4 linked regions of the Drosophila melanogaster genome follow. The protein of the gene in region 2 interacts with the protein of the main gene of each other region in a pairwise test. Each region holds a gene or a part of one and is shown on either strand. Other genes may lie near its edges.

The links.
Region 1: the proteins of Ntf-2 (region 2) and CG11581 interact in a two-hybrid assay, tested with the Drosophila melanogaster proteins (one large-scale study listed by BioGRID).
Region 3: the proteins of Ntf-2 (region 2) and CG43894 interact in a two-hybrid assay, tested with the Drosophila melanogaster proteins (one large-scale study listed by BioGRID).
Region 4: the proteins of Ntf-2 (region 2) and CG6891 interact in a two-hybrid assay, tested with the Drosophila melanogaster proteins (one large-scale study listed by BioGRID).

What each region holds. Positions count from the first base shown.
Region 1 is NC_004354.4:14,174,103-14,180,352, forward strand, and holds CG11581 (uncharacterized protein), read left to right. Parts: upstream 1-2,820; 5' UTR 2,821-2,844; coding exon 2,845-3,849; 3' UTR 3,850-4,354; downstream 4,355-6,250. Other genes in the region: CG1368 (uncharacterized protein), read left to right, coding at 725-727, 869-1,426.
Region 2 is NC_004354.4:21,031,921-21,041,796, forward strand, and holds Ntf-2 (nuclear transport factor-2), read left to right. Parts: upstream 1-3,548; 5' UTR 3,549-3,693; coding exon 3,694-3,801; intron 3,802-3,910; exon of another isoform or gene 3,911-4,170; intron 4,171-4,478; coding exon 4,479-4,550; intron 4,551-4,618; coding exon 4,619-4,717; intron 4,718-5,689; coding exon of another isoform or gene 5,690-5,800; exon of another isoform or gene 5,801-6,074; intron 6,075-6,825; coding exon 6,826-6,939; 3' UTR 6,940-7,795; coding exon of another isoform or gene 7,796-8,013; 3' UTR 8,014-8,026; intron 8,027-8,094; 3' UTR 8,095-8,115; coding exon of another isoform or gene 8,116-8,239; 3' UTR 8,240-8,464; coding exon of another isoform or gene 8,465-8,518; 3' UTR 8,519-9,547; downstream 9,548-9,876. Other genes in the region: CG15449 (uncharacterized protein), read right to left, coding at 7,796-8,013, 8,116-8,239, 8,465-8,518.
Region 3 is NT_037436.4:12,887,557-12,893,218, reverse strand, and holds CG43894 (uncharacterized protein), read right to left. Parts: upstream 3,450-5,662; 5' UTR 2,996-3,449; coding exon 2,935-2,995; intron 2,877-2,934; coding exon 2,748-2,876; intron 2,680-2,747; coding exon 2,162-2,679; 3' UTR 2,114-2,161; downstream 1-2,113. Other genes in the region: CG14118 (uncharacterized protein), read right to left, coding at 359-506; CG14120 (uncharacterized protein), read right to left, coding at 4,052-5,662.
Region 4 is NC_004354.4:18,772,095-18,782,087, reverse strand, and holds CG6891 (uncharacterized protein), read right to left. Parts: upstream 6,861-9,993; 5' UTR 6,510-6,860; coding exon 6,459-6,509; intron 5,591-6,458; exon of another isoform or gene 5,233-5,590; intron 2,456-5,232; exon of another isoform or gene 2,243-2,455; intron 1,408-2,242; coding exon 1,084-1,407; intron 1,011-1,083; coding exon 894-1,010; 3' UTR 743-893; downstream 1-742. Other genes in the region: CG18259 (uncharacterized protein), read left to right, coding at 1-174, 231-312; CCKLR-17D3 (Cholecystokinin-like receptor at 17D3), read left to right, coding at 8,303-8,876.

The sequences.
Region 1 (6,250 bases), 6.9 Mb from region 2:
TGATTTTCCGTTTGGTAGTTTAGCCAGCCCCCTCCCTATATATGCTTTTTAACCTCCGCCCTGATTAGTGTTGCCATTTTAGCCATTTTATTGCCAAAACCATCTAACTAAGTAAGCTCTGCCAATGATCTATGCTAGTTAACGTTTCAAGTTACCATTTTTTTTTCAAAACTCAGTTTTTAAGAAGTAAGTAAATATTTAACAAGTCGGCAGTTTTAAGTTGTAAATAGGTGATTAGCTCAAATGTTAGTATCTAAATCTTTTATATTATTACTTATTTTGCATTGTGCTACCACTACTACTTAATTGAACATTGCAAACGGTCTGGTGTACATAAACAATTATAAGTGAAGCATATTCTTAATTGAAAATACTTAAACTTTTTAACAGTTTTCACAATTAGCTGCCAACTTATGTGGCTATGTCCCCTCAGCCCCTCAGCACCAGTCAGCCGTTTGTTTGTCTTGATTTCATGGTGACGTCTTTTGCGGCGGCTTCTTCTTGGTCCGCTGGCCGCTTAAGCCTGCTCTTCTTCTTGCCCGGCGTCTGCCGTTAGTGCCGGTGTGCCACCGCTGCAGTTGGAACGGGCTCTCCAAAACCGGGGCTTTTCTTCGAAGACGGCCGGCAGCTATAAATTGACTGGCGGCTGGTAGGGACCGGCATCAGTCGCAGCCTCTAGCTCATCCAGCACAGTCGCTTGAAAACGCAGAAACCTCAACTCAAGATGGTCAGTGAAGGATTACAAGTTCAGCTTGAAACAAGGATACATCGATTTAACAATATTATTTGACAAAATTTTTTTTTTTTTTGCGGTGCTTAAAAAATTTGCTGTGTTTGTAATGTGTGAAGTGTGTTGTCCTACTTGCAGAAATTCCTTATTGCCTTCGCCCTGTTCGCCTGCGTGGCCGCCGATGTTAGCCACCTGAGCAACGAGTACCTGCCCCCCGTCCAGAGCTCGTACGCCGCTCCCTCGGTGAGCTACTCCGCACCAGCCGTGCAGCAGACCTACGCCGCTCCAGCCATCCAGCAGTCGTATGTCGCCCCCAGCAACGAGTACCTGCCTCCTGTGCAGACCTACTCCGCACCGGCCGTCCAGAGGACCTACTCCGCACCAGCTGTCCAGAGGACCTACTCCGCCCCCTCTGTTAGCTACTCGGCACCCTCTGTGAGCTACTCGGCTCCATCGGTCAGCTACTCCGCTCCTGCTGTCCAGCAGTCGTACTCCGCTCCATCGGTCAGCTACTCCGCCCCTGCTGTCCAGCAGTCGTACTCCGCTCCATCGGTCAGCTACTCCGCCCCTGCTGTCCAGCAGTCGTACTCCGCTCCTGCCGTCAGCTACTCCGCCCCATCGGTGAGCTACTCTGCACCCTCCGTGGATGTGGGCACCCAGTACGCCTCCAACGGTGGCTACGTCTACAGGAAGTAGGGATCTTCAACGAAGAGGCCTGCAACTGAACACGAAACAGTGTCCATAACTACATACTGCCCAAATTAACCATATATTTTTTTTTTTTGTTTTGTAAACTTTTGTTTACAACGAAATAAACCGAAACATCAATAATCCAAATAAATACTTTTGTTTTTAAAATGGGTTTCAGAGTTATAAAAACAAGCGTCTAATATTAATATTAATAAAATTTTTAACAAGTGTATCCCTATTCACTTTATATCAAAATTCCGGACCAGGATACCAAAATAGCGTACTAAAAACCACGCGCGACTTGAGTGCGGTTTGGTTGCGGTTTAGGTGCGGTTTTGTTGCGGTTTTGATGCGGTTTGAGTGCGGTTCGTTTTCAAAATCGAACGTCAAAAGCAAGTGCTTGTTGGTGCTTAATACTTCAGAGTAGACAAAAGGTGGCACTTTATAAGCCAATAAAAATATAATAAAGTATACGAATGATATGTCCATACAAAGTAAAGAAGATTTATTGGCATTAGTCTATAATGGTAATTTTCAAAATTAAAAAGCTTAATTCTTCGACTAGTTAACACTAAAACCTGTAGGACAAGAACATAAACATTTAACATACATCAATGTTTTAACTAAGTATTAGCGTTAAAAAATATAATATAAAGCTTTAATTAAGTTGGGCTTTTTATAAACAGCTTGCAGCTTTGATTAAACTTGGAAGCTGCGACTATTTTAAGCATTTTCAAAGAGCTTTTAGTTTAAATATAGCATGAAACTTTATGGTTTTCCTAGTTTTAACACTAAGCTTTTGAGTATTTCAAAACTATGACTTGCAGATACATTTTCTGAGAGTGCTTGGCATTTCTGAAAAATTATTTACTCAAGACTTTTTGAAATCATTCAAAACCATTATTTAGTATATTACAGTAAATAAAACGAACCTCCTCGACGTTTTTCCTGTTTTTAATTAACACCCTTTTGCTTTCAGGTAGTAATTTTTAAAATTTAATATTCATCATAAAGCTGAGCAAGAACTTGAATCTAAATCAAATAAAATGTTACCCTTTCATTGTTCTTTCTTTTCGTTTATTGAATCTTTTTCATTATCGCCTCTTTTCTTTGTGCGATGCTGAATTTAACATTCGATTTCGGCGTTAGTTTATTTATGTAAAATCCGGCCGCTAAATTAAATTTTATAGTTCAGTTTTGGCACCTCCCCTCGCACCTTCGATCACCTTTGGATTGGCGATTATTTATGGAACCTTTGTGATGATGCAAAGCAATTTCCGTTCGCCGAATGCGAAAGTGAAATGAGCCGGCCGCGAATTTATGTAATATGTTGATATGCCGTCTTATATATGGCGGATTTGGGGCCCGTGGCCGCATAGCCACCGTCGCCGTGCAAGTTCCCAGAGATCAAACCGGAGCTCGAGATGATGCAGCCATGGGCCGTTGTGGTCCTACTTCTGCCCCTGATCAACGGAGATGTGAGTCACCTGCCCAGGGAATATATACCGCCCAGTGCGGAACTGGAGCCAACCACACGGTCTGCTGCTGATGGCCAGGAGGTGCAGAAGGATCCATCTGGATTCTATCCATCGACTGGACTGCCACTGCCGCCGGGCTATGCCATTCCCACGGGCAGCAACGTTTTGCCACAGCCTGTCCAGCCGCCAAACTTCCCTCTGCCCATCTATCCACCATTCTACGGCTTCGGCGGAGGTCCTGTCGAGCAGGGAGGAGGACATGGTATTGGGCCAGTGCCTTCGGCCTATCCCAACGGAGGTGCATTCCCGGCGGGTCCTACCAATGGAGGCGCATTCGCAGGGGGTCCTACGAATGCGGCCTTCCAACTGCCACCAGGTGGTCCTTTCGGTCCGCAAGCTGGTAATTTTGCCCAGCCAGGTGGTTTCCCGCAGGCAGGTGGGTTTCCCCCACAAGGAGCTGGCTTCCAGCCACAAGGCATCCCTGGCAATGGATTCCCAACGCAAGGAGCTCCCTTCTCACCACAGCAGGGAGTGTTCCCATCACAAGGAGGTGCCTTCGGGCCACAGGGAATACCGGGCAATGGTTTCCTAGGAGGTAACTTCCCGCCACAGGGAGGGCCCTTCCCAGGATCCGCATATCCACCGGAGTTCTTGACAAACCAGGGACTTCCCCTCACAAATCCCCAGGGTCCCTTCCAAGGACCCAGTCCAGCAGGATTCAATGTGCCCGCAGGATTCGGCGGACCTGTGCCCGGCCAGAATCCCTACCAACAATTTGGACCCGGTTTCGGAGGACCCGCTCCGCCGGGCTACTCCGATGAGCCGGCGAAGGAGCAACCAAAGGACAGTGAGAGGACAGTAGTGGCACCACCATCGGCCGACGATCCCAAGAGTGTGGCGGATACGGTTTACGCATCCAATGGCGGCTATGTCTACAAGAGGGCCAAGTAATGCGATGGCTTTCGAAGCCCCAAATTGGGGAGTTCATCAAACATGTTCGCCATAAATTATGATCCATATTTTGTTTTTTTTTTTTCTTGTATTTTTTGTGCCTTTGTTTTTATTCATTTATTTGATCTGCTGGCCATAAAGATGCGGACAGACAAAACGATTGTCTCTATGCTAATCGAAATCTTTGCCAAAACTGACTGATAACCATAAACGAGACAATCTATCGTCGTGATTGATACATATATATAGACAGACCTATGTTTTATGCATACCCTGGCCAGACACATATGTGTTCATAAACTATGTTGTCTTCAAAAGTCAATACAAGGCGATTAAAGGCTGAAATAAAAAACACGATTAGTGGTTTGGGTGTGGACTAAAACCGAAGTCCTACGATAATTATGCACATTCACCATCAAGGTTTATTGAACTCTGATATGTTTCTGGATGGAATTAAGTTTAAACAAAATGGTACAAGAATTAAAAAAAAAAACATCCACAACTTAAAAGCAGTAATAGTTTATCATGCAACAACAATGGATCATTAAAAATGGATTTATGTTTATCATTTCATATTCTAAAATAAATCCAACTTAAAAACGAATAAATTCAAATGATTGTCTTACATGTATAAATTTTGAATTGACGTCACAGAAAAGAGGTAGAGAAAGAAGCTGCCCACCTAAAGGGCAAACTTAATCGATTTAAGTTAATTTCAGCGAAATTCAAAGAACCTTCTGAGTTAATTTTAGCTTCGCGATATTTTTTTTTTTTTTTTTAATTTGCCAAACTAGTTTCTGACGTCAAAGAGTTTCCCCTAAAGAACATACATACATTTATGATAATGAACTTCTTTTCGTGAACTTAAGATGGTTATCGAAAAGGGGATTTTTCCATAGTTTAAAACCAGACTTATTCAACTCCCATGTTTGGTTTCAAAAGTCTATAGACTTCAACTAGCCCGAATTGATTTTTTATTCATCTTTTTTTTTTTTTTTTGATGTCTCCACTGAATTATTTATATGTGGCTTTTGATTGTGTTGTTGTTATACAGTAAATACATTAAAAGTCTTTATAACAACTTTTTTATGGCTTTGCCAAATGGTAAAAAATGTCTTTTTGTCTTTTGGGAGAGCTTTTGTCACCTTTTATGACACGCTTCATCAACTTACATTAGTTGGTTCATATACTTACATCAAGTGGTTTATCAACTTACATCAGTTGGGCGGTTTAGTGCTGCTATTTACTTCTGGTTGCTTAACATTCATTTGTATTTAGTGTTTTACTACACTTTCAAGTAAAATAACCTTATAAAGTAAAACAATATATAAAATAATGAACTAATTTTAAAGTATTTTATTAAAGCAGTATTGCTCTTCAGGCAATATATCACTTTTTAACAAACTTTTTTGCAATTTGCTTACTTATTTAGATATAGATTGTAACTAGAACATGTATATTATATCTTATACATCTGAGTTTTTCTATCTTTCACTCAAGCTCAAGCCCTTCCGTTTGTCGTATATGCAAATCGAAAGTGGCTAATCCAAATCAATTCAGCAGCTTTGTTGCAATTTTCGCTAAAGTCGAACTCAGCTGAATATTCATCACGATCGTGAGCTATAGCTTTTGGATATATAGAGGCTGTTCGCACAGCAATTAGTCATAATTAAGGCAGACTGTGCCCGCGGTTGTCAGAGGCCCTCAACTTGACATTTTCCTTTGTGGACTCGAACCTTAACTTGTTTTCAATTTGTCACATTTCTGCGCGTTTTTGTTCACTTTTTTGTGCGGGGCGCGTGTTTGGGGCGCCAGGTGCAAAAGAAGAAGAAAATGATGATGACAATGATGAAGATGAAGAAGAAGTTCGCATTCAAATGAATGGCCTCCGAAGATCCGCATAGTATGGTCTTTGTATTATCTTGTAAGCCCATGACATGCCCATCATAATAATCACCGCGACACACGCCTACGAGATGCATATGAAATCGTATCGAATCCATATCGAGATCCCCTGATTACCAATAATATATGGCCCATTGAAAATGTCCGAAGGTTGGACACGTTTCTGCCACCGAGTGAGATCTCAGTAGATATGCTATATTGTTGGGAAATCGGCCTGGTAGGCCCGGGCCCTTAAACGATTAACATTTTATCATAAATTCAAAACCTAAAGCTAAGACAATGGACGAAAGTCGCAGGAAAAAATCGCAGATGCTTTTGTGCATAGAATGTTGGTGCCACTGAACAAATAAATTATATTTCATTATGCCAATGTTGCAAATAAATATTTATAATTTTCCAAAAAAAAAAAATGTTATCAATAAATATCATTTTAGAATGCAATTTTCAGTTTGGTTTCCTCACGTATTTAAACCTAATGTAATAATCTGGTAAGGCA
Region 2 (9,876 bases):
CTCTTAAATTTTCCTGCTGTGATGCACACGCACCGCCAGTGTTACCAGAGGGCGACACCTGTTGCGCTGCCGTTGATCGATCACTCTTATCGATATCGTTACCAATCCAGCTTATAGGCTTTAAAAAATTCTATAAGCTTGTATATCGAAAATATTAATACTACATTAATATTATTAGAAATCGCAATGCATTTTTAATCTTAGTCATAAATTAGGGTGGATATTAACATTTCCCAATGCGAAGAATGCATCTAGTAAGATGTTTCCGGTATTACAGTTTATTTCATCCTTTCAATATCTGGTCCCTCTCTATTTATAAATAAAACCCGCCTGAAAATTACACAATTTAAATGAACGGATCGAAAAGCAACTTTAGAGACCTTAAAACGGATTCTTAACGTGAATTAAACAACAAATCTAAAAATAATAATATAATAATATATATATATATATATATAATATATGAAAAACAAATAATTGTTTTCCAAATATGACCAAGTATTACGGCTGACAGTAATGCAATAATTTGTTACGAACTGCTTATCCTTCGTTATTGCAGTGCCTCTAGCTCAGGCTTACCACACAGCTCGCAATAGAAATATCGATAACTATCGACGTCTCACCACTCTGCACACCTAAGATCTCAAATAATCAAAGGAACAAAAAAAGGTAATCAAAAGCATTAATTGCAAATGAACATACATGCGCACCCACCCAACCTAGGATGCCCTGAGGATTTTACAGTCATCACCCAATATAAATAAATATAAATATAAATATACCAAAAATTACAAACAGTTGTCATCCTGAATTGCCCATTTTGGTCGTTAACCGCGGTTCATGTGGAAAATATCCTAGTCAGAGGCAAACGAGTAAGAATTTCAAAACAATATAAAAATATATATGATATTAATTTATTGGAATTGTAATTTATTCAAATAAAATTAAAAGTGTGGAAGCGGAGACAATTCAGGTCTTATTCGTAGAGTGAAAGAATTAAATTTAATTGTAAGTTGCAAAGCGAATGCTTAGCAAACCCTTGACTGAAATTTACTTCTTTATGTGTTAAGCTAAAGAGGGCTCCTCTTATGTATTTCTATGAATTGAGTGGATCGTGCATGGATGCTGGGATAAGCCAAGGATTTGAGCTTCGTAAGCGGTTTTGACCCTTTGGTGGGAGTCGTGAATGCGGCTGCGGATGTTTATGTCTGGTGGATTGGGTGCCCTCTTGAGTGGATCGCGCATGGGTACTGATCAGCCGAGAACTTCAGCTGCGTTAGCGGTTTTGACCCTTTGGTGGGAATAGCGAATTCGGCAGCGGATGTTAATGTTTACATTAGGGCAGGCTGGATTTTTTATTGTCACCAGAATTGGGGTTCTTATGGGATACTTGAATTTATGACTTATATCCTAAGGCATTCTATGATTTGGTTTATGCAAAGACACTAGAATAACAAGATGCGTAACGCCATACGATTTTTTGGCACACGATTTTTTGGCCGTGGCTCTAGAGGTGGCTCCAGGCTCTCTCGAATTTTTGTTAGAGAGCGAGAGAGCGGAGAGCGCTACAGCGAATAGCAGACAACTGTATGTGTGCACACGTATGTTCATGCATTGTAAATTTGACAAAATATGCCCTTCACCTCAGAAGTTCTTAGACTTTAAATCTATATTATTTTTGATCAATTGGCACCATGCGAAAAAATCTTGTTTTGCATTGCAAATCCTGATCGTCCTCGCGAAGCAATGCTTCACGGCCATACCGCGGGGGGTCCTGGATTTGCCCTCCTTACTTTTACATTGTTAATCTGTTAATCTTAATCTTAAATGTTCAATAGACGAATTAAAAAAAAAAAAACCTAATCCTGTGTAATCAGAGCACTGGGGACGCGCGCGAGTAGCCGGGCGAATCGAGTTAACGCTCCTGGAAAACCCGAAAATTTTCCGTGTCGCGGCAGCTAAATAGAGACAGGAGTGACTGTCTCTAACACACAGTAATAGTGTAAAAATCACGGAGCAGACCAATAGCCAACCCCTCCGCTTATGAGTCCCCCGTCGGAACTTCACCCTTCACACCCAACCCTTAAGTCCATGACGCTGCGCTTGCTCTCTTGACCAGCCGGGCAGCAGCATAATAAAAACCCATTTTGCGTCTGAGCCAAGGTGGCCGGCGGAATGGTTTGTGTCTGAGCCTCATCGGCCAGCACCGTAACCATCACCTGGCGAATGGTATAGGGCCGCACACCTTGCAGTCCAAGGTTCTAAGGACCCCACCCTATAAGCCAAACGATGGCACCCCCAAGGGGCCATTATAAGTGACCTCCCCCCCAAACAGAGCCCAACCAGCAAGGCCCCCTTTTCTAGAAATCGAGGAGATGGGAGATATATTATACAACGGGGTGAGGAGCATTAATCTGGCAATGAAGAACACATTTGCCAGATTGAAGGATCTCCAACTAAAGCTGCGCGTGAGGCTGCCGGAGGAGGAGAATTCGCATGCCAAATGCACCGCAAGAACTGATGCTAGCCAACAGACCATCCCTAATGGCCTCTTTAGCTATGAAGAACCGAGTAAGGGCAAAGACGGTGTCAAACCAAAGATCGCACGGTGATGTCCAACGCCCTGCACTCCAAGGAGCTGAAGTTGGCGTTGCCGACTCGACCAGCAAGACGGTAATAATGCTGCTCAAAGGTGCCTTGAAACGTGCGACACATACTGAATATGCCATCCAACTGTTTTTCTGTTTTTTATTTTTGTTCTTAGCTAAATGTAATATGTCAAATAAACGAATTTAAAAAAAACCTAATCCTGCGAACCAAACATAGGTGTGTGTTGTGATGGAGGCAACTCCTGCGCAGGCGCGCGATGTCCGTAAATGTGGTGAGCATTGCCACGAATTGTGCGCGCCAAACGCAAATTTTCCTGCTGCGATGCATACGCACTGCCGGTGTGACCAGATCGGTCACTCTTATCGATATCGTTACCAATCCAGCTTACTAGCTTTAATAAATTCTATAAACTTGTATATCGAAAATAAAATTATTATTAATATTATATTAATATCATTTCAAATGGCAATGAATATTTAATTTTAGTAATAAATTGGGGTGGATATATGCTTTTCCGAATGTGAAGAAAACATCATCCTTTCAATATCTGGTTTATCCCTCCCGTCTGAAAATTGTGAAAATACAAGCGATTCCACATTATGAATAAACGGATCTAAAAATCAACTTTAGATACCTTACAATGGATTGTAAGTTGCGTTAGCTTAAGTATGACCTGCAATTAAACAACAAATCAAAGAAAAGTCGTCCCGAGCGAGGAAAAAAAATAATATATGAAACACAAATAATTGTTTTCCAAATGACCAAGTATTACGCCTGACAGAAATGCAATAATTTGTTCTTACATTTATGTGACCCTATCATCATCGAATCATATTTCAAATTCCAATTCCGATTTCGTTATTAGGACATCGGGCTGTAGCCCTGGGTATCGTAATCGATAGTTGCGAAATAGCAGTCAGCGATAGTGTCTGACAAAATCGACGTTGTTCCACCCCTAACAAAGAGTGGTGATCTGAGCGCAGTCGGTTGATTTCATTTGGTTTTTTTTTTAATTATTCGTGTCGCCGCGATCGGATCGGATTTCCCATAATCTCTGAGCGTTCCGCCTATCCTTCAAGTGAAATGTCGCTGAATCCGCAGTACGAGGACATTGGCAAGGGATTTGTGCAGCAGTACTATGCGATATTCGATGACCCGGCGAATCGGGCGAACGTGGTTAATTTCTATAGCGTAAGTGTTGTTGCTTCCCGCTTCTGCTCGTCGCCTTTCATCTCTCCTTTATTCCCGTCTCCGCTTTCGCCTGCACATTTTTCGCTTGCCATCCCCATCACACGCACAGGTGACGCGCGGCGCGCCCTTGAAAAATTCCGCCTCCTTTCAGCAGAAAATGAATAAAGAAACTGTTGCAATGCGAAAAAGAGCGCGAAAAAGAGCAGCTGGAGATATACGGTCGGCGTATCCGTGATATCGTGGGAATAGGATGAATGTTGATAGGGGCGGGGGCAGCGTTCGATTCTCGAAGTTTCGGGTGACACATTACGCCCATGCTCGCATAAATAAATACACACATACGAAATATATGGCCAACATACAACTGCGGTTAGCACAATAGGGCCCAATATACGATATAAATTCGTGAAAAAATTGTATTAATATCTTGAAAAATATGGCATAATTGTGTTTCATTAGTTTCAATCAATTCAGTTTTTTTGTCACATAAAAGAGTAAATGAAAGAATAAAAAAGTCTATAATGATAAAGTATTGAAAATAAAACTATCTGTTTGATATGTTTTTAATTTAAATATTAACAGTTTTATAACCAATTTTGTTCTTAATAATACGAAATATCATTACTAAGTAAAACATCATCATAACACTTATATCATTATATATTTTATACTTCCAGGCTACCGACTCATTCATGACCTTTGAAGGCCACCAAATACAGGGGGCACCCAAGATTCTGGAAAAAGTTCAGGTAAGTCCTGATTATATACAGTCATGGGCATATGTATAATATTTTGCATACCCTTCCTATTCCTGCAGAGTCTGAGCTTTCAGAAGATTACCAGAGTGATAACCACAGTGGACTCGCAGCCAACTTTCGATGGCGGAGTTCTGATCAACGTCCTTGGAAGACTACAGGTAAAACCAGAATTCTCAACAAGAAAACTGTCCTAAACTCGCTGTCGGGGGGAAATTCAATGACTGCCTGCGGCGGCGGTTAGAATATTAGCACTGCCGACCAATTCAATCGATTTTCTTTTCAAGTTTTGAATTTTATTTTTGGTCTTTTCAACACGTAAATGCTTGACAATCGTTTTTGTAACAAATAGAACGTTTTGTTTTGGCTTTCACATAAGAACATTATTTATTTTGCACTGTTTCCCATTTATTTGTTATCATGTATGGGCTTTATTAAGCCTGCCACTTTATTCCATTAAGTGTTCTTCATTCTAAGATACATTATACCCGTTACTAGTGCAGTTAAAGAGTATACTATATTCGTTAAAAAGTATGTAACATGTAGAAGCAATCGTTTTCGACAAAATGTAGTATATATATTCTTGATCAGGATCAATAGCCGAGTCGATCTGGCCCTCTCCATATGAACGTCGAGATCTCAGGAACTATAAAAGCTAGAAGGTTGATATTAAGCAGACCGATCCTAGAGACACCGACGCAGCGCAAGTTTGTTGATCCATGTTGCCACGCCCACTCATATTGTTCAATATGAAATTTCGCGTTCTCACTTCCAGTCGGAAAAGTCGACCATAGCATTCTCTCTTGTTTTGAATATAATATCCATTGACTTATTGATGCAGTTATAGTAGGTAGATAAATGAAATGAATTTTAAAAAGAGTAACTGCCTCAATGTATTTTACGATACCTTATTGTTCAAAGTGGATATATGTAGAGACGTAGAAGCAAATTTCAATCGCCCATCACTTAAGATATGAAATCATTCATCATTCTTCCGTAAAGTCGTAAGGGCAGTGCTATTTGCCGACCGCCGCTGCATCTATTATTCCATATAAGTCACCTGAATCTGAATCGAATATCTCAATTCTGGTTATTACAAAACGAAACACAAATGCCAAAACAAACCAATGCAGACCGACGAGGATCAGCCGCATGCCTATATTCAGACCTTCGTATTGAAGCCGGTGGGCGGCAGTTTCTTTGTGCAGCACGATATATTCCGACTCTCGCTGCACGATGTGTAGCACCAGCGAGCCCGACCTGCCACGCCCAGTCCACAGACTCCAGCGCCCGGCTATATGTGTGTAAATCGAGATCGAGATCAGCAGCCAAACGATCAGCCAGCAGACACGAGACGAGAGCCAGTTAAAAAACGAAAGAAATCCATATCTAAGCGATAAGATAGTTCTGCTGCTTGTCGACCTTATGCCGCCCAGCCATGCCCACTCCGCCCACATATACAAAAATATTTATCCTTGGCGTCTCGTCGTCGTCCAATTTCTTCTAATTATTCTCACAGTACGTGAATGTCCAACGAAAATTAATCAAATCAAAATGTTGCGCATTTCATTTCGTGCATGGTTTTCGTTGATTTTGAGTTGGATTTGCTCTTTCTTTCGGTTGGTCGCTGGGGACCTGGAACCTCCTAATAATGCAATTTTAATGTAACACAAACAATTTCTGTAACCTCTATTGCTTTACATTTTTAACTAAACGGTTTATATTTATATTATATTTTTAGATGCTTTCAATTGATATTGCACTTATAAAAATTCTGTTTTTCATTTGTTACAAAACCAAATACCAATTGACTAGTCTTAACTTGCATATTGTTTTGTTCAATAGCTCGAAGAAGAGAACTGTAAATATCCCAAATTGTTAAGCGCACCCTAATATGCCTTAAAAAAAAAACTTTCAAATGTTGTTCAATTTTGAATGGAACTGAGGAAAGTTTTGAGAAGTTCTTATATCAGTGAATAATAATTTTGCTCGCACATTTGGTATAAAGTTTATTCTGCTCGTGAAAATGTTTTGGAGTTATGTTCAATTTATCGAGCGAGCCCTGTACAGTAAACACGCACCTTACACGATCAATCGGCTGCCAGTTGTACACCCTTTCCCTCTGACCCTGGCTTCAAACTGTGTGTACTCCATTCATATCTAACTCAATACGTTGAAATTGGTTTTTCGCACGCTTGTGTTATTGACTTTAAATGTGACTGGTTTGCCTGGCATCTGCTAACGTATTTATGATTTCATTCCTTTGCAGTGCGATGACGATCCCCCACATGCCTTCTCGCAGGTCTTTTTCCTGAAGGCCAACGCAGGCACCTTCTTTGTGGCCCACGACATCTTCCGTCTCAACATCCACAACTCTGCCTAGGAGCACTCCACTTACCTACGTATGCACACCACTCAGCACCACACATAATCGACATCCAAAGATGCCCAGCGCCAGATGATAACAACAAGCTCGGCAGTGGAACTCAGAAAAAAAAAATATAACAAAGCCAGCCAGCGGTCTCACGATTATCAGCAAATACAAAAGTTAGAAAAAGAAAAAAAAAAAAAAAACAATAAAAAAATAAGAAAATAACGCTAACTACTATTACGATGTCAACAAAATGGGCCGCCAGCTCACCTTCATTTGTGTCCCATTGTTGCCGGTACTCTCGCTTTACGATCCACGGAACCCTAGAATTATATGTTCTGCGAACACCTGGATCTCGCGATCTAATTTAGCTAGGACTATCGAATTTGGTGGTATGTGCCGTGCTACAAGCTCGTATTTCGAATTCCCGTGAAATGAGCAGGAACAGCAGGCCGGGATCATCGCCTACATAAGTTTAGAGTGATTTTCTAGACCGTTTATATTTCCAATTGAATTATTTGTACTTTAATTATGAGGATTATTTTAGATAGCCGTATTGCAAATGTATTGTGTCGAGTGTCTCGCTCTGTAAACAATTACTTGAGTACCGGGACTGCACCACACACAGTCGCAAGTATCGACTCTTGCTTTCTCATATGACTAATTGAGCGATGGCGAATTACTTTTTATTGAGAGAAAAAAAAAACACTTAAATATAAAGATAAACGTTAACAGTTTGGTTGTTTGTATGATTGGCGGAATGGCCAGTTGAACCGGAAAGATATGTATACCCTTATAAGCTATTAAATGCATACGAAAGAAGCTCCAGCGGATCTGGCCAGTGGTTTCCGTCTAAAAACTGAACGATTCACTTGTCGCGAAATGTGAACACCGCATCGAATCCGAATAGCACCCCATTGACGATGGACAGCGAGGCCTTGATGAGCGCGAGATCCCGAGTTCGGGTGCGGAAGGAGAACTCCCAGGCCTCAATGATGAACACACCGCTGGCCACGAACAAGGTGCAGCCCAGGACGCTGAAGAATATATCGATGCGCTTGTGAATGGGTGCCCGCATCAGAACGCCTGCAATTGCAAGGTATCTTAAGTAGATTTGTGTGCAAATTTCGTTTTTGGTTAACTTATTTTAGTATTTTAACTCTTAAGGACTGGCATTCCAAGGCGTACCTGCAAAGACCCCGATGACCACTATGATGTAGCCCGTGAAGGTGCCAGTGGCCAGGAACGAAGTCATTATATCGCGATCGTTGAAGCTGTAGAAGTGGAGCACCAGACACGCTACCGCAAAACCCTGGAAAAGTGAGGGGATTTTCATTTGTGGTGCTTCTTGGTGTTCTTATAATTTCCGAGTCTATCTGGTATTTCGGGTCTTTTCTTTTAATTCCCAAGTCGTTTTTTTTTTTTTTTTTTTTTTTTTTGACAAACCATTGTTTAGTAAGCATACGCGTTGCTTTTTGCATTAATTCATTAATCCTTAGAACTTGCAGTAAAATCACTTGAAAAAAAAATCCTTTACCAGTTCGAGAAACTTGACCACATTGAGGCGGCCTTTTCGCTCGCCATGAGACATTTTGTGAAACTGCTGCCGCTGACAGTCCTCGAAAATGTGGTCCAGCTTGAAAATGTACGTGTCGCAACTCAAGAAAGTTCCAAAGTTCTTCCGATTGGCCTCTTTGGAGCGTGCTCGCGACGGCAGAGCGCTGGACAAACTGATTCTGATTCGGAAATGGATGACGGATGGCAGGCAAATGCGGCTGCAGTTTGCAGTTGGGCGCAGTCGGGCCCAGCCAGCGAAATTAATTAATTACACTTAGGAAATAGGCTTTTCATTCTTGTTCCCATCCCTGTGTATCCGCCCACGTCCACCACGTCCGCCGGGCCTCTCGGTTCCATCTCTGAAGTGGAGACCGTCTGCGTTCTCCGCTGCCAGCTGCACTCGAGCCCCATCCCTTCCAGCTTGATTGAGTGGAGCATAATGTCTGTATCTGCATGCATGCTCTGTGCCGGTGGGTGGCCAGTGGACAGTGGGCAGCCGCCCAATGGACTCGGACTCATTGTGCTCGCATTGCCATTACCCCAAATTTGCTGCCTAACCTTCGGGGCCCAAGATCGGAGCTAATTCGCGGAATCGGGGCCAACGGGTCGCCAATTTTCCGATGGTAATCAAGTGGATAATGGAAAACATATCGCCGGGGAAATCACTTCCTCAAATCATGAATAATCTTATGGACTTCATGGGAATTATTAGGTTGTAAGGTTGTGTTGCAACGCTTTTCAGATATAAAAGTGGATTTGTAATGCATGGAATATATTTTTTAATATATTACAAGTACTGTACTTTTTAAGTGCAATTAAAAGCTTAGAGCAACATAAAAAGTAAGCCGAATTTTATATACCCTTCACCTATAGTAACTTAGCTACCACTAGCTTGGACGACTACAGTCGTCCTGTTTTAATAAAATGTATTTTATTTCTATTTATTTTTCCTGTATTTTTTACGAACGTTAAACTGCAAATCCCATTCCGCTCGCTCCTAGTTCAGCTAAATTATATAGTTTATATAAAATTAGATTAGTAATTACATTTCCGACCCGGCCTGTTATTGCCTTATCTAATACCTGCAATAGGTTTAATAGTTTAAGTAAATACGATTACGTGGAAATAAACAGACACGGTAAGATTTAGTTGGGTGTCAATTCTGACTAAAAATATATATCTAAGTAATATATACTTTGTTCCTGACTAAAACAATAACACTTCCTGTGTTCTATGGTCAATTTGAAAACATGCAAAATAAGTTGTTACAGCTGAACAAATCTATTTTTAATTTTTAAATTAGTTCTCTATAGAGTGTTTATGCCACATGTTGAACCTATTTATCTTAACTTAACATCAACTGCTTTATTAATTTCAAAACCTAACCATTAA
Region 3 (5,662 bases), on a different chromosome or scaffold from region 2:
TATATACGAACAATATATATATAACAATTGTAATATAATAATTTTATATTCATATATATATTTTTAAATATTTAAGTCTTTCTTATTTTGAATTTTAACCAATTTTAAGACTAATTTATTTTCCAGCCCTTTGGTGCTATGTATTTTACTTTGTTGAAGCAGGTGACTTTTATGTGTAAATAAGGTTATTGTTTCTACAATATAGTTTTTTTTAAGAAAAACAAACATCAGACCTTTTTGCATTCCAAAATGTACATATATTTCATTCCGAATGTGACCACTACAGTCAAACTACTCAAACAAAGCTCAGTCTGCTTTGGATAAACGTATGGTTATTAACTTTTAGGCGACCACATACCTTGATGAAACATTTCTCCATCGATGTGCAGTCCATCGAGATCTTTGATTATCTGACCCACATCTGGAATGGTTGCGATCGCCTCACGTGCCCGAATCTCTCGCAGAATCACGACCGCCAAAATTAGGCCGATAAACTGAAGCATCATTTTGTTGGAAACTCAACTCGACCGGTTAAGTTGCTATCTAACCGCCGACTGAATTATTTGTTTGGTGAACAGGTGTTTTTATTTATATTCTCAGTTCGTGCTCTTGTATCTTACATCTCTCTCTCTCTCTCGCTCTCTCTTTCGTTTTGCTTCTTTGTCTTGTAATCTCTCTGAGAATAAAGATATAATACCATTGGATTGTTTGCATTTTTTGAGTACTTCCGAGTTCTTTCTATCTATATACCTTTATACATATGTATGTGTATTTAGGTCTAGGTCGCATTAAGTTCTTTGCTTTTGTCGATCCCCTTTCTTTACAGAGCTAAAACAAAAAGTGATTTATCTCGCGAATGATGTATCTCAATAATTTTATTCAAGATTAATCGTCAATTATATTTGACATTTTTCTTATTTAATAATCGAAAATAATCTATTGTTAAATGACCTGGCAAACAATGTATGTACACAATATATTCATACCTGGACAGCTTTCGATTCATTTGTAAATGAATAATGATCATGTAGATTTCGGGGATCATTTAATTGAAATCTAACCATATGAGTTGTAATCGTTGTTATTGTTATTATTGTTGTTGTTATAATTGTTATAGTCGTAGCTGGGTCGTGCAGTAGTGTACGTATTGTAGGGATTGTAATTGTTATACGTGGGATAAGCTCCATTCGATCCATAATATGAATTTGGATTCACGCCCGTACCCGTGCCTGCCCCAATGCCCATTGGCAGGATTATTAAGGGCTCCACAATTATGCTGGTACCACCCATAGTTCCACCTCCCTGGGGCATCATTGGCATCATGGGCATGGCACCTGGCATGTACGGTTGTCCCATATAAGGTTGTCCCATATACGAGGGATAATACGCACGCCCCGGAGATGGTACATTCATTGAAACAGGACCAGGATACGGCAGCGCTCCTGGCATTGGCATTGGTCCTGGCATGGGACGCATTGGAATCTGACGTGCCGATCGATTGTGAAATTGTGGTAGTGTTGCATCAGAATCCATTTCGGAATCCGTCATCGTTTCCCCCAGAGAAGCTGACAAATATATGTATTAGCTATTAATTTTAGGAACGACAAATTTGAAAGTAATGAAATAATGTTCGGAAGGAGTCCATCCGGTGCTGAGTAGCTTTGAATTTTTTTTAACCAGTATCGAAGATCTTAGGAAGATCCACCCGAAAAGGGTAAGTTAATATTGTAATTATAGGTACTATAACTGGGTGGGTACGGATTGTAAAATGATGGAAGTGAGTTCCCAGCGGAACGTCCATTATAGTTCATATACGTTGGATAGGACATCCCTACTGAGAAGTGGAGCCAAGGATTGGCCGAATTGGGTTGTCCTTGCATGGCATATTGCCGGTTGGCCTGGTATTGAATTGCGTACTGTGGGTTGGGCTGAGGTGGAATCACATATTGTGGTGCAACTTGACGCGGCTGCTGCATTTGAAACGGTGGGCGAGGTGGTGGATACCCGGGTGGCATTGAAGCTGGCATCCCCACAGGCTGATAAGGCATTTGTGGCGTTCGCCGGAAACGGTGCAAAACTGGCGAAGATATAGAAACGAAAAAAAAAGGTTGATAATAGATTCTATATTTATTATTTGCACATAACTAAAGCTCCTGGTCTTTTAGCCAGCTAATGTGAGGTAGATTAAATAGTTATTGGTTGATGAGGGATTGGCTGATCTAGACAGGGGGTATCCATATTGACCATATGAACTTGACCGCACACTGGGATAGCAGTTATAGTAGCATGGTGGAGTGGGAGGAACTAATTGTGGCCCATTGGCCGATCGCTGCTGCGTATAAGAAGGCAATCCTGCTCCCGAATTCGGATAACGGGGATAAGTACAGGAATATGGGTAGAGCGGACTGATGGTACAGGGAGGACTTTGTCCTCGATTTAGCCAAGGATTTGGCTGTTGAGGTTGCTGGGAACCATCTTGAACAATAACCAAAACATTAGCCTGCCGTTGGCCTGCATGGGTGGCAAATGTATCGGAGTTACTGAAATCGCTCAGCAGTTTAAAGTCACTGTTCCTATTATTCCGATTGCGACTCGTGGAAGTGCTGGGTATGATGATGCTGTTTCGGGTGTTGGCAGTGGTCTGTGTAGTGTCGATGATGAAATCGCTGGCCAGCTGATCTGAAACGGATCAGTTGAAAAGGACCAGATTTCAGTGTGAACCGATGAAAAAACAAAATTTTACGAACCTGATTGGCACTCCGGATAGGTTCCACATTGTTCTCCTTCTTGCTGATTTGGGTTTTCGCAGGGAACTCTGGATACAATGCATTTTTTACCAGATATACAGGCAATATCCTCACAACTAAGTCCAAATTCTGTATTGATAGTGGGGAATTTTTTAGATTTTATCCCTTATCCTGTTCGCTGACTTACTTCTGTATCCTTGGACAACAATCGTCGTGGCTAATATCAAATATATACCAACAAGTTCCATTTTCTCTTGTAAAATTCCGAAACTAACTAAATTCATTTCCCTAAATCCCTCATATTTATATCATTTTGATATTTCATGGTTGATGAGTTGCGGTAATGATTATTTGCAAAATTAAATCACCGAAATATGATGATTATTGTTCTGACTCTTTCTAACATAAATAAAAGTTCATTAAACAGCGCTAATTGAATATTTTTGTATGGCTGTTTAAATGCAGTACATTAAAACTTACACGATTAATAAGTTACTGCCTAAATATTTCAGCAGTAGGTTAGCCGAATAGAACTATCTATTAAACGGTCTCTGAACTACGCCTTGAACAGGGGTAAATAAACATTGCTTAACAAAATAACACACACTTTCAGCCTTGATAGATATTACTGATTAATTAAAACGAAGTTTAACCGCATTGTTGAATCCGCAACAATTCTAAGTGAATGATTACTCGACCAATATAAATCAATTTTGGTTTCTATCTGCTTCATTTACGGTTTTTGCCTTTTGTTTACCCCCTAAAAAGTCCATTATAATTATTAACCAAGCAGGCGTATACTTCATACGTTCTGCGACGATTGTGTTGCGATAAGATAAACAAAGGGAACCGCACAAGTAATACAAGGTATTTCCTTAGCTTCGATAAGAAAATGTGAAAGTCACTGCCATTGGGACTTCGATTCGGGCCAAGGGACTGCCTCTTGGGCTACTGGAACAGCAGAAAAAATTAAGGCTTTTGGAAACGTGCGGCACGTGAGCAAATAATCCAATGGCTGGGTAAATAAATAGCTCTACCCCGGCCATAAACGATAACGTCAAGCATTTGATAACCTTACTCTTATCAATATGTCCAACATGCAATAAACTCCAAAGAGAACAAAAGCTAAACGTGATTTCACTGTTTTATGGCCCATGAGAACTTAATTTAAACGTGCCTTTAAGCATTTTCCTAAGGGCTACCCTTCAATAAAAACCTGTTTTCTTTAAGATAGTCTTTTTATTGGTTTTAAATTAAGAAATTCGTTTTTTTTTTTGGAAATTGCACACCCACAAAATCTGATATTAAACACCCAGGACTCCATCGACAAACAGGTCTTGTAAAGGTAGGTCTTTCACCACTGCAGTAAAGTCCTCCACAGTACAGGCATATGAATAGCCCTTCTTTAGGTCCTCTTTGGTCCAACTGACCCAACTCAGTTGGGCGCCAATATCCTGGCAGATGATGTACTCCTCTTCGATTTGCTCAATGGTGGCATGTGGGTTGTTAACTCCAAGTAGCACGATGCCATTTCTGCTCTCGCGATCGATAATCACGCGGAAGTACAACTTTGGCACTGGAATCAGACCATTGTTGTTTTCATCAAAGTCCAAATAGAGCTCCCTTCCAATGCCATTTACATCCGGCAGGGTGGACACACCCCATGTGCCCGTATAGCAATCCACTGTGATGTTTTCATCCGCCACAAACTTTCTCACACTGTCCTCGATTCGTTCCCAGTTTCCGCCATTAAAGGTCTGCCACTGAGGTGCCGCATTCACAAAGAAGAAGCTCGCCTTTTGAGCGGCCCCAAAGACAAAGTCGGTCTTTGCAGAAAGGTGACCCCGAGCCAGATAGACATTACCAGTGGTGTTGAAGTATGGTGAGGCATCCATGCCCAAAATCTCGGAAACCGTGATATTCTGTTGAACTTGGGTGTACAAAGTGTTCACATCCTTGCCTCCGTAAAAGTCGCCGGGTATAAAGGATGGCCTGGATACAGATCGCTGATATTGGTCACTTCCGGGGTACAAAACATGATGCACATAGCGGGTGACTTCGCTCAGTTCATCGTGACACACGTCATAGGTCTGCAGGAAGTCGTCGCTCGAGGAGGATGACAGCTGAAAGCCCACTTCAAGCAGATCAGTACCACCATTGCAGGGACGACCAGAGCGACGAGCAGTGTATGTTGGCCAGGAAGTGCAGACAAAGTCCTGCAGCTGATACAAACTGCCCATTGCCAGGATGCTCTGCTGTTGCCAGCATGTTGAATTGACGAAGGTATAACCAGAGAAGGGTCCACTGAAAGAATTGATGCAGTGGAACTCAAGGGCTTCTCCATGTTTTAGCTGAACTACTCCTTCTTGATTCGGTTCCAAATATCTCGCATGACCCAATTCACTCCTGACTACAAATAAAGGAGCCGGATCCTTAAGATCACCGTTCACTTTAAAGCTGCACACTTCATTGTCCAAGATTTGATCAGTCAAACCAAGAATTCCTGTTGTTTGCAGTTGATCTGTGGGCAAATCCTTAACCACTTCGATGAAATCTTCTACAGAGCACGCATAGGAGTAGCCCTTCTGCAGGTTTGCTTTGTCCCAGTCCAACCAATCGATTTGCGCTCCCACATCCTCACAGATCACATAATCCTCGAGGGTCTCCGTCAATGTTATATGTGGATTGTTGACCACAATTAGAACTACTCCCTTGCGACTTTCCTGATCGATAACAATGCGATAGAGGATCTTAGCTACTGGCAGTTGTTTGGTCTCGGCATTCAGATACAGAGGTGTCTGGACACCTTGTGAATTGGGTAGAGTTGAGATATCATAGCTGCCGGCATGTACACTCACATTAAGTGCCTCATCCGCCACAAATTGCTTCAAACTGGATTCCACTGCAAGCCAATT
Region 4 (9,993 bases), 2.3 Mb from region 2:
CCCAGTGTACGACGCTCGTGTGGTGCGTCCCGGCACCGCCGAAGTTATTTACAAGTCACTGGAACATGCCGAGAAGGCCGTAGATACCTATCACCATCGTCAGTTCGATGACCAGCCCATGCACTGTGTGCTGGTTAATCCGCACTCCTCCCGTCGCTCGGTGCACAAAGCCAGGTGAGTGATATGCTTTAAAGATACCAAGCAGTATTGTTCAACGTTCTCGGCCGTAGCTCTCGCACCGTGACCACAAACTCGTCTGGCGTGGAGGTGGACATCGATGCACTTCACTCGGTACTCTTCAGGGTCCGCTAGGAAGCGAGAGGCAGAGCCCGGGAACTAAAGCAACTAGATAATTTTTCTCATCATTTTCATCATCTCCGTAGTATTTAGTTCAACAACGTAGTCCATTTTCATTTCGCGCTTATTAAATTCGAATCGATCCATCCAGCGTATGTTCAGAAAACCAGACTAGTTTAAACGAGAACATTTCTTTACTATAGAAACTTGAATTTTCTAATGCAAATTCTGGCATATCTGTCCACTTCAGTATTCAGTATTAGGTGGCTAAAATTTTTGTCTTATCATCAAAGTAATTCATCAGTCCCACTATATACACAATTAAATGTATGGCATTGATAATGATTTTGCATCCGCTCTTGAAATTTGGTATTGAAAACTTTTCTTTTACCTTTTTTGAATGACACTATGGATTATGATTATACGATAAATAAGAGGACCCAGTAATGTTACAATTGCTTGTATAATATTTCATAAAATGTACAGTTTTTAAATTTCATAAAATTAATTCATAATAATTAAAGAGAAAGGAGCAGTTTGGTAAGCAGTTAAGAGTTGCAAAAAAAAATGTATATGTAAAGTAACTTGGAGGCCGCTTAGTTATCCCGGATGCCCGTTCCGTAGTTGGCGCCGCCGGCACGGTTCAGTGCTTCACGGAAGAGCTCAATGTCCAGCTCGGCCTCCACTCCCGCCTGAAGTTCCACGGCAAAATTCTGCAAGAGATTAGAGATGAGAGGATCTATTTCTGCCTCTGGGCTCTGGCATCTCTAGCTATTGGCTACTCACGTTGAGGACATCCTTGATCAGCGCCTTGTCCGTGGACATCTTGGCCCTCTGGATGACGCCCACCTCCTGCCCGATCCACGTCAGGAAGATGAACTTTTTGCGCTTGGACATCTCGTCACCCATCTGGATGCGTATGTAGCCAAAGGCGCGCTCCGAGTCGCCGAACTGCTGTCGGAATTCCTCAAAGCACTGACCGCGCGCATGTACAATAATCTGGGCGCCATCGAACTTGAATACCGCCCACTCGGTGTCTGTCAGATCGGAGCGTACATCCTCGTAGGCCTCGCGAATCGAGTCCTTCTCCAGCGACGTGGCCAGCGGCATCTGCGAAAGAGCAAGGGGGAAGAGGATTATAAGCAAGCGAAGAGGGGAACTATAAGCAACTTTCAGACGGAAGTATATATCTTAATCATGTATTCCAAGTCCGAATCGTTTCGCCAAGGCGAATGGATCATCCGCTTTGGCCCATCGATAGCGAAATGTATTGTATGTACTCAATGCGGGGCCAAGTACTCTTGACGGCGCCATCTATGAGTCAGATTTAAGCGGTGCTTTCGCTTTCGATGGTTATATTACATTCAATTCGACTTGTTTCCGTGTCAGGCAACCTCAAGTCGGCCAGGGGAATAGGCACGCCATTGCATCGCCCACTTGCATTACGTTCGGGCAGATTCACGGAAAGCAATTTGTTGCCGCTTTAGTGCTTTATAAACATAATACCAGCGGGCCAGCGGAAAAGTAGCCAATGTAAATATGTACATATTTCGAAGAAAAAATAAAGGCTTTATTATGATAACATACTGGAACATACCCGCATATTAAATTACAGCATTTTTGATAATGATATCAGCACACACATATGAGGGTTCAGGGTTCTGGTTCAAAGCCCAAAAATATGATGATTTAAAAATATCGATATGTAAATGAATTTAAATTGCTTGATAAGTTCGAATGGCTTGATAGTGAAATGTAAAAAACCAAGTCTCAATACGATTTTGGTTAGCTAAAGATTAATTTTAATTGTGGTTTATTAAGTGATCTTTGGGGTAGCATTATGTGCACAAAGTTAGGCTCAGCTTAGATGCGTGGAAAGCGTGTAAAGCGATTGGATCGATGGTTTTTGATACGAGTATACTTGTAGTACGGATCGGAAAACTACCCTTTCACGTAGTGCACTCTTATTGTCTTAAGCGGATCGCCGCATTAAAATCAATTTACGCGTGACAATTTTCAATCAGCAGCCGGCGGAAAGCAGGTCAGAGATTTGATAAGTGACTTGGGGTCGTCGGAACGGGATGACAACAAACAAAGAGAGCCAAATGACTGTTGGTCCAACTGCCAGCCAAATGGATCGGGCTTGGAGTCAGGAACTAGACTCGCGTATAAATAGACATTGAAGCTGGGCCAGAGATACGGATACAGATACAGCTAAAGGTACAAATACAGATACAGATACAGATACCGATGGGAAGATGGAGATAGAGATCGCTCTATAATGCGTTCAATGACCGGAGAGTACGGCGTCTGGTGAGAAAAATCAATTAGAAAAGCGACGACTGTCGAAAATATCAAAAGCCAAACAATTAAACCCAAAGATGTTTCGGGCGACGACTTTCACAACGCGACGCAGTAAGAACTTGGAGTTTGTATGTGTATTCTATGCGTCGCATAGAACTATGGAACAGCTCTGAATCTCCCGTTTCGTGGCTCTGAATTAATTAGTCGGAAGGCAGGCAAAAAAAAAAAAAAAATGAACAAGATGCGGACGCAAACTGTGCCAAAAATGAGCGGACGACTAAGAAACCGTTGCAGCGAATGACCCACCGAAAATACCCGACAAATTTTCCCCCAAACAAGCAAGATAGCAGATACAAATGTATATAGAAATGTCGGTGCTCCTCCTGCAACCTCCACGGGTACGTGAGCCAAATTGTTGGCTAAAATTAGCTGAAATTAAGTTTCCAGCCGATAAGCCCGATAACGTTCGCACATATGTATCTATATACATATATATGCCTATATGGCCATATCTCCACTTCTGACACAATGACAACACGACAAATTAGATCACTCCAGTTGGGCTGGGAGTGCACCCAAAGATCGGATAGGATAGGCTCGGATAGCCCCACCTCCGGAATTGACGCAATGCCATCTATTTGCTCTGATAAGAAAACTGTCGCAAAACTAAAGGAACTGTAATTGATTTATTACCGAAAGTTCTTGGGATCGCCCGGGCAATTAGTGCCGGTTAAATCTGTAGGGCTCGCCTGTTCCAATTTTACACGCCATAAAAATTCAGCAGAGATTGACGCTTAGTCATAGGAATCGAGATATTGCGCTGGCTTCAGGAAATATATCGAAAAAAGGGAAACTACAATAGTTTCAAGGAAAGTCAGAGTGCGTCATCCTCGAAAGATTCGCATAGAAAAGCGAGCGACAGTAGCCAGTCCATAATTGATACGGTTAATCGTGATTCGTGATTCTCGATGGAAAACAGTGAGCAACAGTCTGATAAGTAACCTTGTAGCGATGACAGGAAATGTATATGCATACATATTTTCAGTTTCACTTGGAACCACCAATAATCCTAACAGATCCATTGAGTTAGCCACCTTTCCAGCAGGAAAGCCATCTGCCAAACAATTCGCGCTACTCAAATGGCTTGCGGCCATATCCGATAGATAGATGTACATATGTATTATATCTATCTATATATGTGGATTCGTACGTAATGAGCCATATATGCCCATGTGTGCATTCATACAGCACGCTGCATTGCCAGCTAGATATATGTAGCTATAGTATCTATAGCTATATCCATCGATATCTGGCAATGAGCGGGCCGGCGATGCATCAAACGCGGCTATAACTGCAGCTAAACGTAACCAAGCATAATACAGCAAATAACAATTTGCTAACGAAAACGAAACCGAATCCCCAGCGCCAGGTGCTTGAAACTGACTTGCTGCGTAACTCAACGCTGATACCCTTGTGAAAGGTATCGCAGTTGTAGAAATTCTTGGGATACCTTTAAAATAAACATCTATGAGAACGTATTGTATGTAAATAATCCTGTCCTTAAGTAAACAGCAAGCTATCGAGAACTACAGAGTGAATGGTATTATATCCGTATCTTTTATCATTCGATGCCTGGTATACACCACTGACATTATTTCAAGTTAACTCTGTTTGTATAGTTTATATATCTAATTGTATGGTATATATAGATCGTGAGCTCATAAAGCAAATACTGAAGTATGAACAATAAAAGTTAGAGTATTCACTTTCGATTGCACTAAACATTTTGTATTTTATTCGCTTTTTCATTGTGTATGTACAAGTGGACCGAAAGTGTTTTATGTTGACTAATGAATTTCAGATAAGAAACGAAAAAAATTCCAAATAATACGATCGGGCATGAATAAAGGAAAATAAAGGAGAGGCGATGCAGATATATATATGACATACATGCACAGTGAAAACACAATATGCGGAATATTCGTGGGTCGATGCAACTGACTCATTGGCAAGGCAATTGGAAAATAACCAATAAATTGCAGCGAATCGGTTATTAACCGCTTCGCCTTGGCCAGACTAAGTCCAAAAAAAAAAAAAAAATAAATAAAACAAGCAAAAAAAATAATTGGCAATGTTGTGACAAATTGCCAGTTGCCGCAGCGCAGTCGCAATGACGTACTTGCTCCGGGTCTGGGACCGCCGATATGTCAATGTTCTTTTTCCCCCACTTTACTTTACTTTATTTCATTTCATTTTATTTCTTATTTTTATTCCGCTGCCGTCGATGTTTCATTCGCCACGCACACTAGCACAAACAGTGCAGGAAACAAAGGAGCAAACTGTTTTGTGGCTGCTCACGCCCCAGACGCCCGGAGTCGGGGGATCTGGGATGCCGGATGGGGTTGTGGATGGTCATTCTGATGGGTACGGGGTATCGGTATGGGGTACGGGTTGCGGGTTGCGGGAAACGAGGTTCCGAGTGCGTGATTCATGCCGCCTGAAGGTGACGACGACGACGACGACTCGGGGAGTGGATGACCAAAATTGGCGCGTCAGGAAGCGATTCCCGAGCATTGAAAGGGTGTGGAATGGCCGATATCCCCATCGATTCCATACACTTTTATTACTCACTTGTTTGCCTGCACTTGGAAACCTCGAAATTGTAATATTTATTGGCCTGCACAATCGTTTTGTTTGATGCCATAGAGATTAGGTTGGCGAACAAGTGCTGTGCACCAAAAGTCACATGAAACGCAGATCTTGCGATCAGCTGAACGAAGTACCCGCAAGATAATGGCACTGCAACCATTTACCCAGCTCCCAGTGCCCGCTAAATACCGTAATCTGGAAAGCTATACGTGTTTGCCAGGGCGACGGACTGCGCCGCATTAACCGCAGCGTCTTCGTTGGGTATCGATGGTGTCTCGAGATCCCAGCGAGCAAGTGCAGCAGCGGCAGCCGCACTGCAAACGCACTTGAACTTGATATGCATCGCTGCGAAGGCGTCGCATTCGGATTCAGTTTTTGGGTTCGGATTCGGATTCGGAGTCGCCCCCACAATCTGCATCCGCCCCCGCAATCGCATCCAGCCAAGATGATATTGCCCCTCGGTACTCAGTCCCTGTTCCTGCCCTGCCCTGCCCCTTTCCGCCCAGCCAGCCAGAGCCATAAAACCCAGCTGCCACCCCGCCTCCTGGACCTCTGGCCCTCTGGGGCCGGTTCTTGTGGAGCGGAGTCGCCGGCGAGCCAATGTCAGAGTTATTTACAGACACTCACGCATGCCCAGCGATATACACACACGCCGCATGGGCCTGGGCTTCAGCAACTCCAGTGTGTACACCGGAAGAAAACTGTATTTTGTATCCTTAAAGCCAATGTCCGAGTTCAATACCACTGTTGGTAATTGAATTTTTATATTATTGTATATTTCTACTAATCCCCAATATTTTTCAATATATATTTGAACAATTTAAAGTTCGAAAATCGATCATTATTCTCAAGAGAATATTATTTTTTTTTAGCATTCTTTAATTGTAGGTATTTATAATGTAGTGGTGATTAGAACTTTCTTCCATTTTAAGGTTGTGCCATCGGATTGGCTCAGCCTTAAAAGTGATCAGCATACTGAGTACCCGTTTTCTTTCGGTGCATTTATAAGATATCTCTCCGGCCTGCTCTCTGACTCTCTGGACTTCTGGCTGCCCCATCCAATCTTTTATAATTCTTAATTTTCGGTCGTCCCCTGCCGGTATACACACACATTTCATGGTCCCTGCCCGGAGCAGGACTACCGACTCCATCCATCTCCAACTCCAACTCGAACTCCATGTGTGCCCAACCCACTCCCCACTACTCACCCTTCTCGGCTTGCTCTCCACCAATTGCTCGACCTCGATGCCGTCCGACATGCTGGTGCGCTGTGTTCTGGATGTGGATGTAGATATGGTTTTCAATGCGCAGCTGGGATGCTGGTGCTCTTGGGAACAGCTTCCTGGGATCGCGGGTGAGTCTCGAAGGGGAACGGAGTGCTGGTCTGGCGGGAAGAGTTGACCGTTTGCAAGGTGACAAAGTGGCAGAGTGGCAGAGTGGCACAATGACAACGAAAACAAAAATACACAGCGCCAGAAAAACAACAAAAAAACACAATCCAAGCGCACAAAGAGCGATGGACAGAACCAGCACAGTTCCAGATATCCAGATATTAGAGCAGCCGCTGAACTTCGTCCGACCACCACGAGTTGTATCTCACGAATGCGGCGTTGCCGGCGTCTGCAACTCCGAATGAAGTGCCGACCGTCGACCGCCGAAGTCGGCGGCGCAGTCGCCGTGCGTGCGAGCGAGATGCACTGGCCAGAAGGCCCCACGGCAGCTGTTAGACAAACAGCAGGTGCGACAGAGACGGCTGCGTGGGGAGCAAGCGAGAGCGGGCGAACTGCGACGATGTCGCCGCATTTGGCTTTATTTTCATTTTCATTTTCAGTGCAGGCATTTCGGAAACACCAAAAAAAGCCAGATGTTGGCTAGTGTTTTATGCGTACACCGCGAGAAAATTTAGTCTGCTAGATGCTCCTATAATGATAATGAAGTTTGCATAAATACTTCGTGTTAGCCATCTTAACTGGCAATGGCCACAGGAAACCATAACATCGTGCGCAAATATATGTATAGTCAGATGGATAGAAAAACAACGACTGTACTCCTCCATCTAAACTATGTACGTCCTTAAGGATCAGCTGAATCCCTTGAAGAAGATCTCTTCCTCGATGGTGAAGAGGCTTACGAGAAGTGAATTCTATCTATTCTATCAAAACATGAATTTATTGGATTTATTGGGTTTCTTCGGCAACACGGATTCCTGGCATAGTCATATCCAGTATCCCAGTGGAGTCACGTCTTACCACTGCAGCTCCCGGTCATGTTATTTTCCTTCATCGAGGGCTATTCCATTCACTTCCTGCGCCGAAAAAACGAGCAACAATTGCAAGCGAAAAGGTAGTCTTTGAAATAGATGCTATAGGTGCTAATCGGAATCGCTATATATCCAAAACTATGTCTAGATCAGCACTGATCCCTGCCAGCTTGTCGGCTGGGAATGCGATCCGTGGAATTAGCGCAGAACATTTGTGCAAACACATAACGAGCCGAGATTGTATTCTCTGGCACTCAAGTGCCGTAGGAATGCGGCTGATTTGATGATTAGCGCGGTGCGTGGGCCGAACAGCAGCTGCTCCGCCGCTGCAGACGCCATGGATGATGCAGTGCACCGTATTAATTTGTCCCAATCGGCAGGGAACGTCCTCCGCGCAACATGGGAGTTGCCCGGCAACAGGGCTGCCTGGCAGCATGCTGCTAGCCACAAGTTGCCGTGGTGAGTTTGCGCCATTCGGCATCGCCCACGCAACATGTTGCGGCAGCTAGCCCAGCGGAGCGGAGGCGTCGTCCTCGTCCGCCAGTCGTCAGTTGCCCACGACGCGTTACCCGCAACGGTAGCAGGCGAGCCCTCTCCTGGCAGCCAAAGCCGCCAGCTCGTGTGCTCGGATACCCCCGAGTTCCATATCGCAATCTTTGCCAGCCTGCGCGCAAGCGTCGCCGTTTCAATAGCAATTGAGTGAAATTTTATTTTATTTTTTTCGGTGACCCGCAACGGGACATGTCAGGCGGTGGTGGCCAGTGATTGCCACGAATCACCCGGTCATCCGGGATGTTCAACTACGAGGAGGGGGATGCCGACCAGGCGGCCATGGCTGCAGCGGCTGCCTATAGGGCACTGCTCGACTACTATGCCAATGCGCCAAGTGCGGCGGGTCACATAGTGTCGCTCAACGTGGCACCCTACAATGGAACTGGAAACGGAGGCACTGTCTCCTTGGCGGGCAATGCGACAAGCAGCTATGGCGATGATGATAGGGATGGCTATATGGACACCGAGCCCAGTGACCTGGTCACCGAACTGGCCTTCTCCCTGGGCACCAGTTCAAGTCCAAGTCCCAGTTCCACACCCGCTTCCAGCTCCAGTACTTCCACTGGCATGCCCGTCTGGCTGATACCCAGCTATAGCATGATTCTGCTGTTCGCCGTGCTGGGCAACCTGCTGGTCATCTCGACGCTGGTGCAGAATCGCCGGATGCGTACCATAACCAACGTGTTCCTGCTCAACCTGGCCATATCGGACATGCTGCTGGGCGTGCTCTGCATGCCCGTCACCCTGGTGGGCACCCTGCTGCGAAACTTCATCTTTGGCGAGTTCCTCTGCAAGCTCTTTCAGTTCTCGCAAGGTGAGTGGAGTCCTCCCGGTAAACGGCAACCACTAAATGCCTAAACGCCTGGCTTATTTAACGACCTGTCCCACTGGAGGGAGCTGCGTTCTCGGACATTATAAGTAACCGCCTAATATTAGCTTAGCTGTCCCAATTCCCCCATCTTCTGTAGCCTTCAATTAGTTGGAATTACAAATACATAAGTTGAGGGCCCTATTTATGGCGCGTGTGAGTTGGGGGCGACCGGGATTCGTAGTTTCCTTGGTTCCTAGGTTCTTGGGCTCTTGGGTTCCTGCGCATTTAGGTTCGTTGGTGGGGCATTAAAATAATTTTTTACGATTATCGTCGCATGTGGATCGTTTTATTGGCCCTGTCTTGCGGGGAAGAGCTCATAAAGCGCGCAAAACAACAAGTTGTGTAAAAGGTGGGCATACAATGTCCTGGTTTCCATCTCCACCTAGTTACCCCTTTATTTCCATACCACCATACCCATACCCACATCCGTATCCATATCCCTGTGCGTGTCGCATGTTCTCAGAAAACTGAAAATGGAAATGAGAATCATAATGTGGGCCCATGTTATTGACAGAGTGTGCGCCATTGTCTGTGGACAGGATACGGATAGCGTGCATCCTTAAGAGTCGCACGGCCATCGCATAACTTCAAATCAAACGCGTTGGCAGGACAACAGTTGGACGTGATTAAAAAGACATTTGTTGGCGCTACTTGGGGGGCCACGGACAATTAAATGGGCTTTCGAAAGAAAAACTGGCAGCTCGTTCTTTATGTTTATGTGAAACGGCGCATTAGCAACGGCGTTGTAAATACATATTTCACGATTTCGGTAATTCGCTTGCCCATTGCGTCATGTGGCAGGTTGCCCCAGTAATCCCGGCCACCATCCAGTTCGTCACTGGGTGAGCTGCTGGCTTGGCCCCGACCCTAATGGCATGCCGTGGATCTCGGATGGCAAAGGGAGGAGCCACTATGCCATGTCGGGCAAAAGGCAAACGCAAATGCGTAGCATACTTGGCTGCGCAATTTAAAGCGGCTGTGTGCAATATCGCTGCATACTTTTGGCCCCCATCCACACCCCACAACCCCGCACAACAGACGAACGGGCGAATTAAATAAC